Linked DNA regions of Arabidopsis thaliana. The protein of the gene in region 2 purifies or fractionates together with the protein of the main gene of each other region. This does not show direct contact. Each region holds a gene or a part of one and is shown on either strand. Other genes may lie near its edges. The genes, in order: NRPE7 and DRM3.

The links.
Region 1: the proteins of DRM3 (region 2) and NRPE7 purify together in Arabidopsis thaliana (affinity purification with mass spectrometry, with the first as the bait; one study listed by BioGRID). This does not show direct contact.

Annotation. Positions count from the first base shown.
Region 1 is NC_003075.7:8,405,720-8,409,696, forward strand, and holds NRPE7 (RNA polymerase Rpb7-like, N-terminal domain-containing protein), read right to left. Parts: upstream 2,173-3,977; 5' UTR 1,992-2,172; exon of another isoform or gene 1,833-1,991; intron 1,326-1,832; 5' UTR 1,318-1,325; coding exon 781-1,317; 3' UTR 528-780; downstream 1-527. UniProt on the Arabidopsis thaliana protein: DNA-dependent RNA polymerase catalyzes the transcription of DNA into RNA using the four ribonucleoside triphosphates as substrates.
Region 2 is NC_003074.8:5,908,161-5,915,121, forward strand, and holds DRM3 (S-adenosyl-L-methionine-dependent methyltransferases superfamily protein), read right to left. Parts: upstream 5,186-6,961; 5' UTR 4,989-5,185; exon of another isoform or gene 4,879-4,988; 5' UTR 4,797-4,878; intron 4,718-4,796; 5' UTR 4,679-4,717; coding exon 4,676-4,678; intron 4,593-4,675; coding exon 4,461-4,592; intron 4,324-4,460; coding exon 4,227-4,323; intron 4,137-4,226; coding exon 4,039-4,136; intron 3,957-4,038; coding exon 3,860-3,956; intron 3,842-3,859; exon of another isoform or gene 3,430-3,841; coding exon of another isoform or gene 3,360-3,429; coding exon 3,208-3,359; intron 3,061-3,207; coding exon 2,961-3,060; intron 2,768-2,960; coding exon 2,676-2,767; intron 2,496-2,675; coding exon 1,134-2,495; 3' UTR 774-1,133; downstream 1-773. Other genes in the region: EMB2786 (COMPLEX 1 LYR-like protein), read left to right, coding at 118-215, 457-535. UniProt on the Arabidopsis thaliana protein: Catalytically inactive DNA methyltransferase that acts as regulatory factor for DRM2-mediated DNA methylation. Required for maintenance of non-CpG DNA methylation.

The DNA.
Region 1 (3,977 bases), on a different chromosome or scaffold from region 2:
TAATTGTTATCAAAGTGTTTTTCAGATACTTCTTTTTATCGAAATAAAATTGTTGGCTATTAGCTAAAGATATTAACTAAATAAATATTACTATTCGATTACCGAAGGAAAGGAGAGTCGGGCCAAGAACGAGTATTAACCAATCCTGTGTCATCCACAAATCCAAACATTGAAAATTTTTTATTTAGGGTTTTAGACCTGCCAAGCAATCACATTCTCATGTGATTCTCGTGGGCTTTCTTTCGTCTTCCCAAACTCAACGATTATTGGGTTGGGCTGTTAGACTTTGAATTGACATAGCGAGCAAAAGTAGCAATATTCAAAGCGGCACCGCTTCAATCGGCGCAGAAACAGTCACTGGCAAAAAAAAACTCATACGCCGCTTCGAAATCTGGAGACCTGTTGAAACTAGAGATTTCTCGATGGTGATGAGTGATGATTAATCCATAATCGTGCTCTGAGATTGGTTCGGTTAACTTTGGTTTGAAATATTTCTTATATATCCGGTTTGACTACGATTTCAGAGTCTAATTCCAATCTGAGCTTATCATATGGAAGAGACTCACAAGCAAGCAAAAATCATTACCAATACAAAAAACCTAAATTAGACCAATCTTTCCTCTTGAAGGTGAAGGATTTCATTACATTCAAAGATCAATGTTTTCATTATTTGCACAGCTAGAGAGTAGTTACTAGTTACTACCAAACATGAACTAAAGCCGAGTTATATAGACATAAGAGATTGCCCAAAAACGCCATCACATGAAGAGATCAAGCAGATCACTCTTCAGATAATGGTCCAAGATAGTCACCTTCCAAGCTAGCCAACGCCTGAAACTCCCTCTCTACTTCCATCCACTTTATCCCAATCACAACAACCCTCACTGTAGTCTCAACCTGAATCCTAGACGTCTTCTCATTCATGAAGATCGGGTTCTCTCCAGGGATATACTTGTAATCCGGCATCTTCGTGTAGGAGAGGTAAACATTCTCGATTGGACCACACCTCATGAAGACACCGTGCTTCAACACCTTGTGCACCACACCGTGAATTATCTCTCCTTTGAAGATCTTGAAAGTCATTCCGCTGAACATTACCGGGAACAAAACTTCACCGGTGTGCTCCCTGATTTTGCCTTCTCCAATCTTGTCCAAAGTTGTGACTGCCACGTAGTAGCCAAGCTCCTTGGTTGCTTTCTTGGAAGCAAACGCCTCTAGTAACTCTACTAGTATAGCTCTCTTCAACATCAGCCCTTTGGCATCCATGTTTTCAGCTGGAATCATCACGTTCCATGGTAATTGGACTTTGAGAAACATTGTTCAACCTTCAAAACCAAATCAAAGCAATGTCACATAGCTATCATCATTGATCCAGAGAATAGAAATACTTTACTATCATCACATTCTTCTCAAAGGAAAGATATGAGAAAGACTCTGGAAAAAATCAAAACTGAAAGATCACAGAGAAAGGAAAAGGAAGTAGACAGTAATTTCCAGGTTTTTCTCTGAAACGAACATCTAGGTTATACAAATCATCATCAGTAACCTAAAGTAATTCATCCATAAGATAAGATCAAAGTTTCTGTTTTTATAAGAATCTGGACACAATGTAGACATGCATTAGCAAAATACCAATTTCATAACTCTACAGTACTCAAAACAGAGATTCAGAAATTAGTTTCACATTACATATCTACTAAAACGAACACTAAACAAAAAAAAAAAAAGAGCTTTTCACTAAAAAGTATTTCTCACAGGCATTTAAACAAACACTACGCAGGCATGTAAGTAAACAAGTAAGAGTCCTCAAAATTCTATCAAAAGTTACCAACTTTAATAAACCCACAAAAGCTTTGTATTTGCATTTTACGATTAAGTACTCAGACCATCACTTTTTCCACATTTTCTCGAGCAACCCATGGACCAAGACCTTAAGACTGAAAATAGCTGAGAAATTGATTGAGAAAATCAACAGAATACTGAACCCATGCCTTTGTTTATAGATTCCTAAGATATCAAACGAAACGAGAATCGGCAATAGAGAGTGAAAACTGGTTTTGGAGAATCAACGATGCGAGAAGCGAGAGTTTGTTTTGTTGTTTCAAACTCTCTATCGACTGAGAAGTAACACTCGGAGACTTTCAATTTTGGTTTGTTTACATGTCGATGGGCTGAAAAGACCCATTATTACTGAGACTATATTATTATTGGCCCATTAGTATTCACTTTTTCTCTATTTTCTTTTAAATATATTTTCAGAAACTAATTAATTTTTCATTTTAAGATTACTAATTTCATATATTTAAAAACTTTGAAAATTTGATTCTCAAATATTTAAAATTAGATTAAACTTTTTAATCATATTCGAAAATATACTTTTTCTTCTCTAAATTGATAGAAAAATACAAATTAATATATATTTCCTTTTAATTATTTAATCTAATTAGATTAAAAAAATATCTCCATTGAAATCTGGTCGTCTGTCACGTGTTGTGATTATGTTTTTTTTTTACTCAAACATGCTTCTCATATTAAATAGGGATTAAAATCCCGGTATAATGCGTTTGTGATTACATTAGGAATGAGGTTGTAAAAATGCGACAAAGCATCAGATGGTATTCTATGTTTCGCTAAGATATCCGCCGCTTTGTTGTGATCTCTTCGAACCCAAGTAAACTGGCAGTCATTAAACTTGTCTCTCCAAATGCGTGCTTCCCTAATCCAATTAAAAATATTGAAATTGTGTTGCCGACCATGAAGCAGTTCCACCACTGTTTTGTTATCGCCTTCAAAACATACTCTTGTATATCCCTTAATCCAACAGCTTTGCATTGCAAGAATTAGTGCCTGAAATTCGCTTTCCATAGCTGTGTTTACATGTCTTCCTTTAGCTTGACCTGCACCTCTAAAGGTGCCTCTGTCGTCTCTAATCACCTATCCTGCACTAGCCGGTTGTCCGTTGATAAAGCTACCATCATAGTTGCATTTGATCCAGTTTGTATTCGGCTTCATCCAATGATATTCGCCTTGAAAACCAACGTTCTGAAATTGCGGAGGGTTCGTCATTCCCAAACTTCTTTCATCTTGATCATGCCATTCCTTTGCATCACTTCGAGCTTGTCGTATTACCTTTCGCCATGAAAAGTTCCTTTGTTGAAAGGTGAGGTTGTTTCGTGATATCCATAGTCTCCACAAGATCCAAAGAGGTAAGTGCTTAAGATGTGGCGTTCTTGTCCCCGTGTTACACTTGAGGATCTCTCTCAACTTTTCTTCCCATGGGGTCCGTGGGTCATAGAGTAACCTGTTTGATATTCCAGAGCCTCGCCAAACAGCTTTCGCATAGGTACAGTTGAAAAATAAATGCTCTGTTGTCTCTTCCTCCATACAACATCTTCGACACCTAAAGAAACGGCTAATGTGATTATGTTAATTACTCATTTTAAGAAACAAAGTTTTACTTAATAACCTTTTCCCCTTTTTAATAAGGTTTTCCCTTTTTTATGTAATTTTCTTATTTTCATTGAAGTGTATCCTTTTTAACTATATACTTTAATATAAACGTTTTACTTTTTTTGTCAAAAAATTGTATTTTTCATTTTTATGTTAGCATAGATCAAAATCTAATTAGAAGAAGTTCTTTACATGTATCAAAATCTCATCAATTGATTAACACATGTCATAAAAAAAGAGAAAGATGGAAGGTCATGATTTCTTCTAATCTCTTTTTTACTGTTTCTTTACATAAGATTCTTATCTTTGAATTTACTAAGTGTTTTGTATTTGGCAAAAAAAAAAACTAACTAACTCAAAATAAGAATTTACATTGAAAAAAAATAAGAATTAACATTTTTTCAATAAATATTTTACAAATCTCCGCTAGTTTCTTAGTTTCAACAATAAATAATAAATATAGATGAAATTTGATTGTTTTAAAGAATTAAATTTATTTCCTATAATTTATCACAACTTAGTTATTT
Region 2 (6,961 bases):
CTTCTGTTTTGATTCCTCGAGAAAGAGATTTGTGTGTTTCTATTAGGATTAGATATCCTGGAGTGGAGGAGATATATGAAGTGAACTTTTTGTTATGTTTACGTTTGTGTCTTGCAGCAACACAACACTGAGCTAGTGGTTGGTATGGTGAGGCAACAATTTAAGAAACACATGAATGAGACAGACCCTGAGAAGATTCAGAAGCTTAAAGATGAGTGAGTTTTCTTTTTTTCCCCAATCTCTACTGAATACGATAACTTAAAACCTTATAATTAGATCAGATGTAAAACTTGTTCGTTGAGGCATGTTTCTGCAAAAGATGATGTTTCACACAAACACACACATATACAGCTGCTTGAGATCATATATTACAGAATACTCTTGGGATAAGTATGTTGTATACATCTATTTGAAAAGTTTGGAAAGACTCAAACTTCTCTGGTACTGTATATGTAGTGCTGCTCGGGGACTCATCAATCACATGTTGTTTGAGTCAGCGAAGCTGACAGGAGGCAAGGTTAGCCAGAGATCCTGATGCAGTCTGGTTGCAGACTCTCCCATTGTTATTCTCTCTCTATCTCTCTAGTCAATGCTTGTAGGCTAACAATGCAACTAAGTTGGCTTGAATAATAGACTTGATCGAGAAGCCTCAGTGACTCAACATTGAGGATTTTCCTGTGCAATCAATCAAGTGGTTCTCTATTTCAAATCTAATCATACAGTTTTTTTTTTACTCTGGCTTAGATTTGTTTATATTTTGGATTAGACACTTCAGAAGTTCAGATCATTTCCAGTTACTTTTGACGTAAGATGAGTATGAATTATGCAATCAACAACATTGAGCTAAAAAAAGTGCTAATATTATACATAATTGTGAACAGTACACAACAACATTGACCGCATGATTCACTGCTTATCTCTCCGAGAAGTAACATAGCAAAAAAATAAAAAAGACGATATTCCACGCTTCTATGAAGATTATGGTACAGACTGATTCATTAAAGCATCAACTGCAAAACAAGAAAAACAGTTCCGTAATTGAAAGTCTCCACGATAAAGAAAATGGAAGACTCCTTCTGAGATTAGACAAGTCTCCAGGTTCTTGAGGACGTAAAGGCTCTTGGTCAACTTCACTACATCATATCTCTGACACGTTTCGTGACACGAGCAAACTCGTTAAACAACGTATAATCAAATTCACAGGCTTCACTATTTGAGATTTCTTTAGAGAGATCAAGTGGTGTTGATGGGTTCTGGCAAATGACAAAGTCAAATCCTCCAAATCTCTGCATCAGAGTCTCCAGCCTCTTTGCCGTTAAGCTTTTGATTTCTTCAATTTGCACTAGCTCACCGGTTTGTCCCGAAGTCTGCCACCATCTTTTCAGTATGTTACGGCTCAATCCACAGGACTCTACAGAGACTACGCCTTTTAGATGGATTCCAAGACGGTCCAATGCAATTTCCGCACCACCAATCCCGCTAAAGAGTGATAAAACTGTTAAACCTTGGGGAAACATAGACTTGAGTACAGAGAGATGGTAACCCAATGTGTCTGTTTGGAAGCAGTAATCAAACAACTTCAATCTTTCAGCCAACCTTCCACCACCGATGTTTGTGTGGTTCATTGGATATCCCATAATGCACTCTAAATGTTCAGGCTCCAAGGGTGAGAGGATGTTTGGTGCTATCCAAATGAGATTGGAGGTGTGACAATGTCGAAGTATTAAAGTCTGGTCCTGTTGAGTAGGCTTTCCCTTGCATTCAGCTATACGGCGACCAATTCGTTCACAGAGAAGAGTTGCATCTTTCATATTAGAACACGTGCCGCTATTGAAATGCTTTCTGATATCCCATTGTGGCCACCAACTCCTCATGTGTGGCATTGCGTCTTGTATAGTTAATCGAGGGTTCGGGAGGGTATTAAACCTGTTAACAGTGGGAAGATTGTGCAGGTACCCTTCTGTCCTACGGAGCGCTGAACACAACCGAGTATCTACATGTTCGGGGTGAATTCCGAACAAGAAACCCGAGATCTTCGACCACCAGCTAGGAGAAAGTTCACCTAACTGTCCATAGAAGAAATAAGGTCGTCTGGCTACTTTTGGACCAAGACTCTGGGACAAACGTGGCTGCATTACACTGGGAAATTCATATGTGTTATCTTTCCACTCATCTTGCATCCATGGGGTTTCCATAAACGAACTTGAGTCACCCATATCTTCGGGCCTTAACCGTTTTCCTCTGTCATCGTAGCCAGTGTATTCTTCTGGATAGGCATTCTCATCCTCATCTTTTGGTCGCTTACCTCTCGAGGTCTCTCCCACATTGTCAGTGGCAGGGAAAGGAAAAGACTCAATACCAGGATCTGGTTTTATATTAGCAGTGCCACTCGACGAACCCCCACCACCATCCTCTTTCTGAGCACCAACCCCAACAAATCTCCAACTCTTTGAAAGACATGTACGATTCACTGCAGGAGCAGCCGCTGAAACTTTCTACAGTGACACCAAATATCATTGAGTTAAACTCCAACAATATCTTAGTTTAATTAAGAGAAGAGTGTGAGATGGTTTAGGTGCAGTAGCAGCAGCAAAAGCTCTAGTTTCAGCACTTCACTTTACAAGTGCATCATTGGAGGTCGAGTAAAAATTAATTAAAAACATTAGTGTACATACCTTTTCTATATCTTCAAGGTCATCATGGCATTCCGCAGGAAATTCACCAGTAACAATTGACTCAGCAAGGACAGAAATCTGACCTTTTGTACCTGAAGAGGTGCAAAATAGATTATATACCAGTACAACAGGACGGGCTGCAAAACAAATGATAGGATTTCTTTCACCCTAAAAGTATCATAATCACCCCCGACAACATAAACAAGATACGTTTCATGTCTACATTTTTTTCTTTCAGACATATAACAGTCATGGGATGAACAGATAAGTGCCTCAGTTGCTCACCTATCTTCTCAATTGCCATTGAAATTTCATCATTAGAGAATCCCATTTCCAGTAAACGCAAAGTCTTGTCCATTGTTTCAAACAATTGTTCATTGGGAACCTGAATTTAAAACACAAAACAAAGGTTAGAGGTAATAAAGGTAATAACAACATGAACAACACAGAATGAACACAAAAGAAAGGTAGTGGAATCTACAAAAGCATTGACAATAAAATCAACAGCTAATGTCAAAAAAGCACCAAAGACCTCAGGTCCTCGAGCAGTAACTGGAGTGACATCTTCATCTTCTTCATTGATCTCAGCACCATCAAGTGAATCTTCGGATTCCTCCGCATACTTTTCAGCTAATTGAGCAGCAACAATGAAGTCCACCATCTCATCAATTGGTGTGTCTTTACCTATCACACAGAACAAACAATCATGAAGAAAGGATTTGGGGATAGGCCAAATGATAGCTGCTATCTGCATGCTAAGTTTCTATATAGCTTTGAATAGTATAAGTATCAATTTTTTAGAAACTATTTACAAGTTTCTAATACGGTCACAGGGAATGGATTTTCCACTTTAACATTAATAAACAACAGCTTCATAAATGTTATTTCTCTTTTCAGAGAGTTATAATATACTATAAGCCTCCTTAGTTTGCCTATATTAAATGTCATACAATCAGAAGTTCCAGTATGAAGAGATGGTTAATCTATAAGAAGACAAAGAAAAAATATCGTGCAATAGTGAGAAATTGGTCTTGCAATGTACACGAGGTCTAATCACTCAAAAAATAACCTGAAAAGAAGAAATTCTAATATGTTAAACCATGAATAGACACGGACAAAAAGGTGTAACTTTGTAACATGTTTGAATTTTGAATGCAAAGCCAAAGACATTGTGAATACATTACCAAGCCTATCCAGTGCAAAGTCAACAAGATTTTCTGGAAACTTCATAGTTAGTAACGCAATCCTTATACGGTCAGTTTCGTATTCAATATCAGGTTCCTGTCAAAGAAAAGCAAGAAACATTAAGAAATTACACAGAATGAAAGACAAGACATGTGGGATCACACATTATGCGCTTTACCGGTTTGGGTTCCATTAGCCCATGAAAGCTAGGTCCAGGAGGTTCTGTTTCAGTACTCTTAGTGAGAATCTCTAATAGCAACTCAAAATCATCTTGACCTGGATGCGAAGAGGCAAACTCAGTAATCATATATACCCCAAATGAAAGTTAGCATGCATGGTAGTTTTTTACAGGAAACTGAAGAATACCATTTTCGTCAATTGCTTTCTGAACAAGAGTTGGGCAAAATCCCATCTCAATCAGCAATGACTTAACATTACTTCCAGAAGAACTAGCAGCATTGTCCTGCACATCAAGTATGAAACAATAAGAACCTTTCTAAACCACTACTTGTTCTAAACAGTAAAATGTAGACACAGTGGATGTTTAAGAATCTTAGCCACTTATGTCCTTTATGGTATAGAAAGGGTAACAAAACATACACCAATCTGCTGAGGGAAAGAGGTGTCGCAGGGCAAATCAAAGTCCAAGGTCTCTGGTTTTGGAAACAGTATCTGCTCATTCCTTTCATGATTAGAGGAACCTCCACTTCCATTTCGTCTACGCATATCAGCCTGCAAGATTCCAGAAAAACTTATGAAAAACATGCAACACAAAAAACAAAAGATAACATTCCCAAAGTAGCCAAATTCCATACCATTTGAATTAAAATTCACACACAAAATCTCACATGAAAGCCCTGCAGATAGATACCAGAGAGATTATGTCAGTGTCCCCAAATAACACAAAAGATGAACTTTAAATGGAAAAGAATTAACCTCATTGATGTTGATTTTATCCCATAAACGGCAAGGGAGAAGATGGAATCAATAAAGCCCCAAAAATAGAACACTCCTCGAACTAAGAGATGAAACCAACCACGAGTGACACTTAAAAAAGCAATTCCGAAAAATCACACAAATTCCAGAGATTGCGACAAAGAGAGCGAGAGAGAGGAAGACGGTGCATGCCTGTGCAGTGGTCCGCGTCTCACCCAATCGAGCCCAGTGCGGAGGAGGAGAAGCTAAAAAGTTATGAAGTTGATCGCAATGTTGCGCGCCGCGTGGACTACACTGCCGAGACTAATTCGGAATTTTATTGATTCCCTTTGAGCAGTCCGGTAGATCGAGCGCGTGAGGAAAAAACGAACGGTCCAGATCATAGAGTTTGGAACTTCGACCAACTTTCTATTACAACTATGTTGTAGTTCTGTTTTAATATTTCAAGTTTTTAGAATTTTAAATTTATGTTTCAGATGCTAAAATTTGTATACACTAAAAACATCATTTACCAAAACTTGATGAAAAACGAAAGAAACTACTCTCAATTCCCAAGCTTTGAGAAAGATTAAATTTTGCAAAGATAATTAATAGATTTCGAGCTATTTCTCGACAAAGATTATGTTTTTTTGGCCCAGTTTTGTTTAGTTTGTAACAAATTGGAGCACCGAGGTTATGTGACCCAAATGTACGTAGACTAGTCGAGGCCAATGTATATATAGTACTACTATTGTACCTGAAAGATGATCAAACAAATTAATAAGTTGAGTGATTGGTTCTGTTAATGCAAGATTTTTTTTACTAATCTTCATCAAAGAACATGGCAAAATAAACAAAGCAAGAACTACGCCTGAAACAATCTATAGATTTTGTAAATGGACTAATTAATGACATGGTTTCTTCCTTTGCTTCGTGCATGGTGTAGGTTGCTAGATTTGCACTGAATTAATGACATGGTTTACATTTCTGCTTTATAGATTCAACGTTGTCGTCTTTGTGAATTCCGTCTAGATTGACGCTCATCAGATAAACCCTATATTTCAAAATCATGATCGCATGAAACTCCTTCACTTGTTTCTTCTATGCTTTGTTGCCTGGTTGGAATATTGAGAGAAAGAAGAAATAAGGTAAGAGGTACGAGATAATATCTCTTCTCCTTAGAGACAACAACAGAACAAAACAGAAAATGTTTTATTGAACTGAAACTTGTTAATATTTACATGACAATACAATATTAAGTTTATATAAAAAAAAAAACAAATAGACACAACAACCCAATTAGTTGTGTCTCTTTTTACTTGTGCCCTTTGAGTGAAACAACACAAACTTACAACCGTTAGCTGAAAACTCAATTACGGACCAACACTCCCCCTTAATTGAGCTTCGCTCTTCCACTTAGCTCCCTTCTCAGTTTGTCACAACTTTCGGCTTCAAACTCTTTAGTAGTAGCATCACACTTCCCCCAAATAGTCTTACCCAATTCGTAACACTTCTTATCATGATCTTTAGTAAAGTCACCACTTTTCTTTTTCTCAATCTACTTTCTCAAATTTCTCTCTCGTTTCAACAAATCCGATAGTGAAGAAGAAATCTCAGCCTTTGTTTACTCCATCGACGGCGAAGAAATCACCGGAGATGCGACTCCCAACGGTTTCTTTGAAGTGGATGCGACATCCGACGATTTCTTCGCCGTTGAGAAAAAGAAAAGTGGTGACTAAACTAAAAATCATGATAAGAAGTGTTACGAATTGGCTAAGACTGTTTGGGGAAGTGATGGTGATGCTGCTACTCTTGTGAAGCCAGAGAGTTTGAAGCATGCTTCTGTTTTTGCCTGGCCGTAACCCTAGAGAGCACCTCCTCTGCCAAATCCAGAGGAAGATCCGAAATATCTTCGTCATTGTTTCAATAAATAGTAATTAGGGTTTTACTTCCACACCTTTAGTCTTTTTTATAAAGGAATTAGTTATAAATTAGGTTACCGCCTTTGTGTCCGGGCCCAAGGAGACTACACAACGGGCCTCGATAAGAAAACCCTCATTTGTGAACGATGACAACATAGGATCATAACTATCGTTTCATAGGCAATTCTATAAGCCATGTGTGTAGTTCACTCAAAATATGTATGAACACTTTGTCTTTATCAAAACAGTGCGACTTTTAACAAG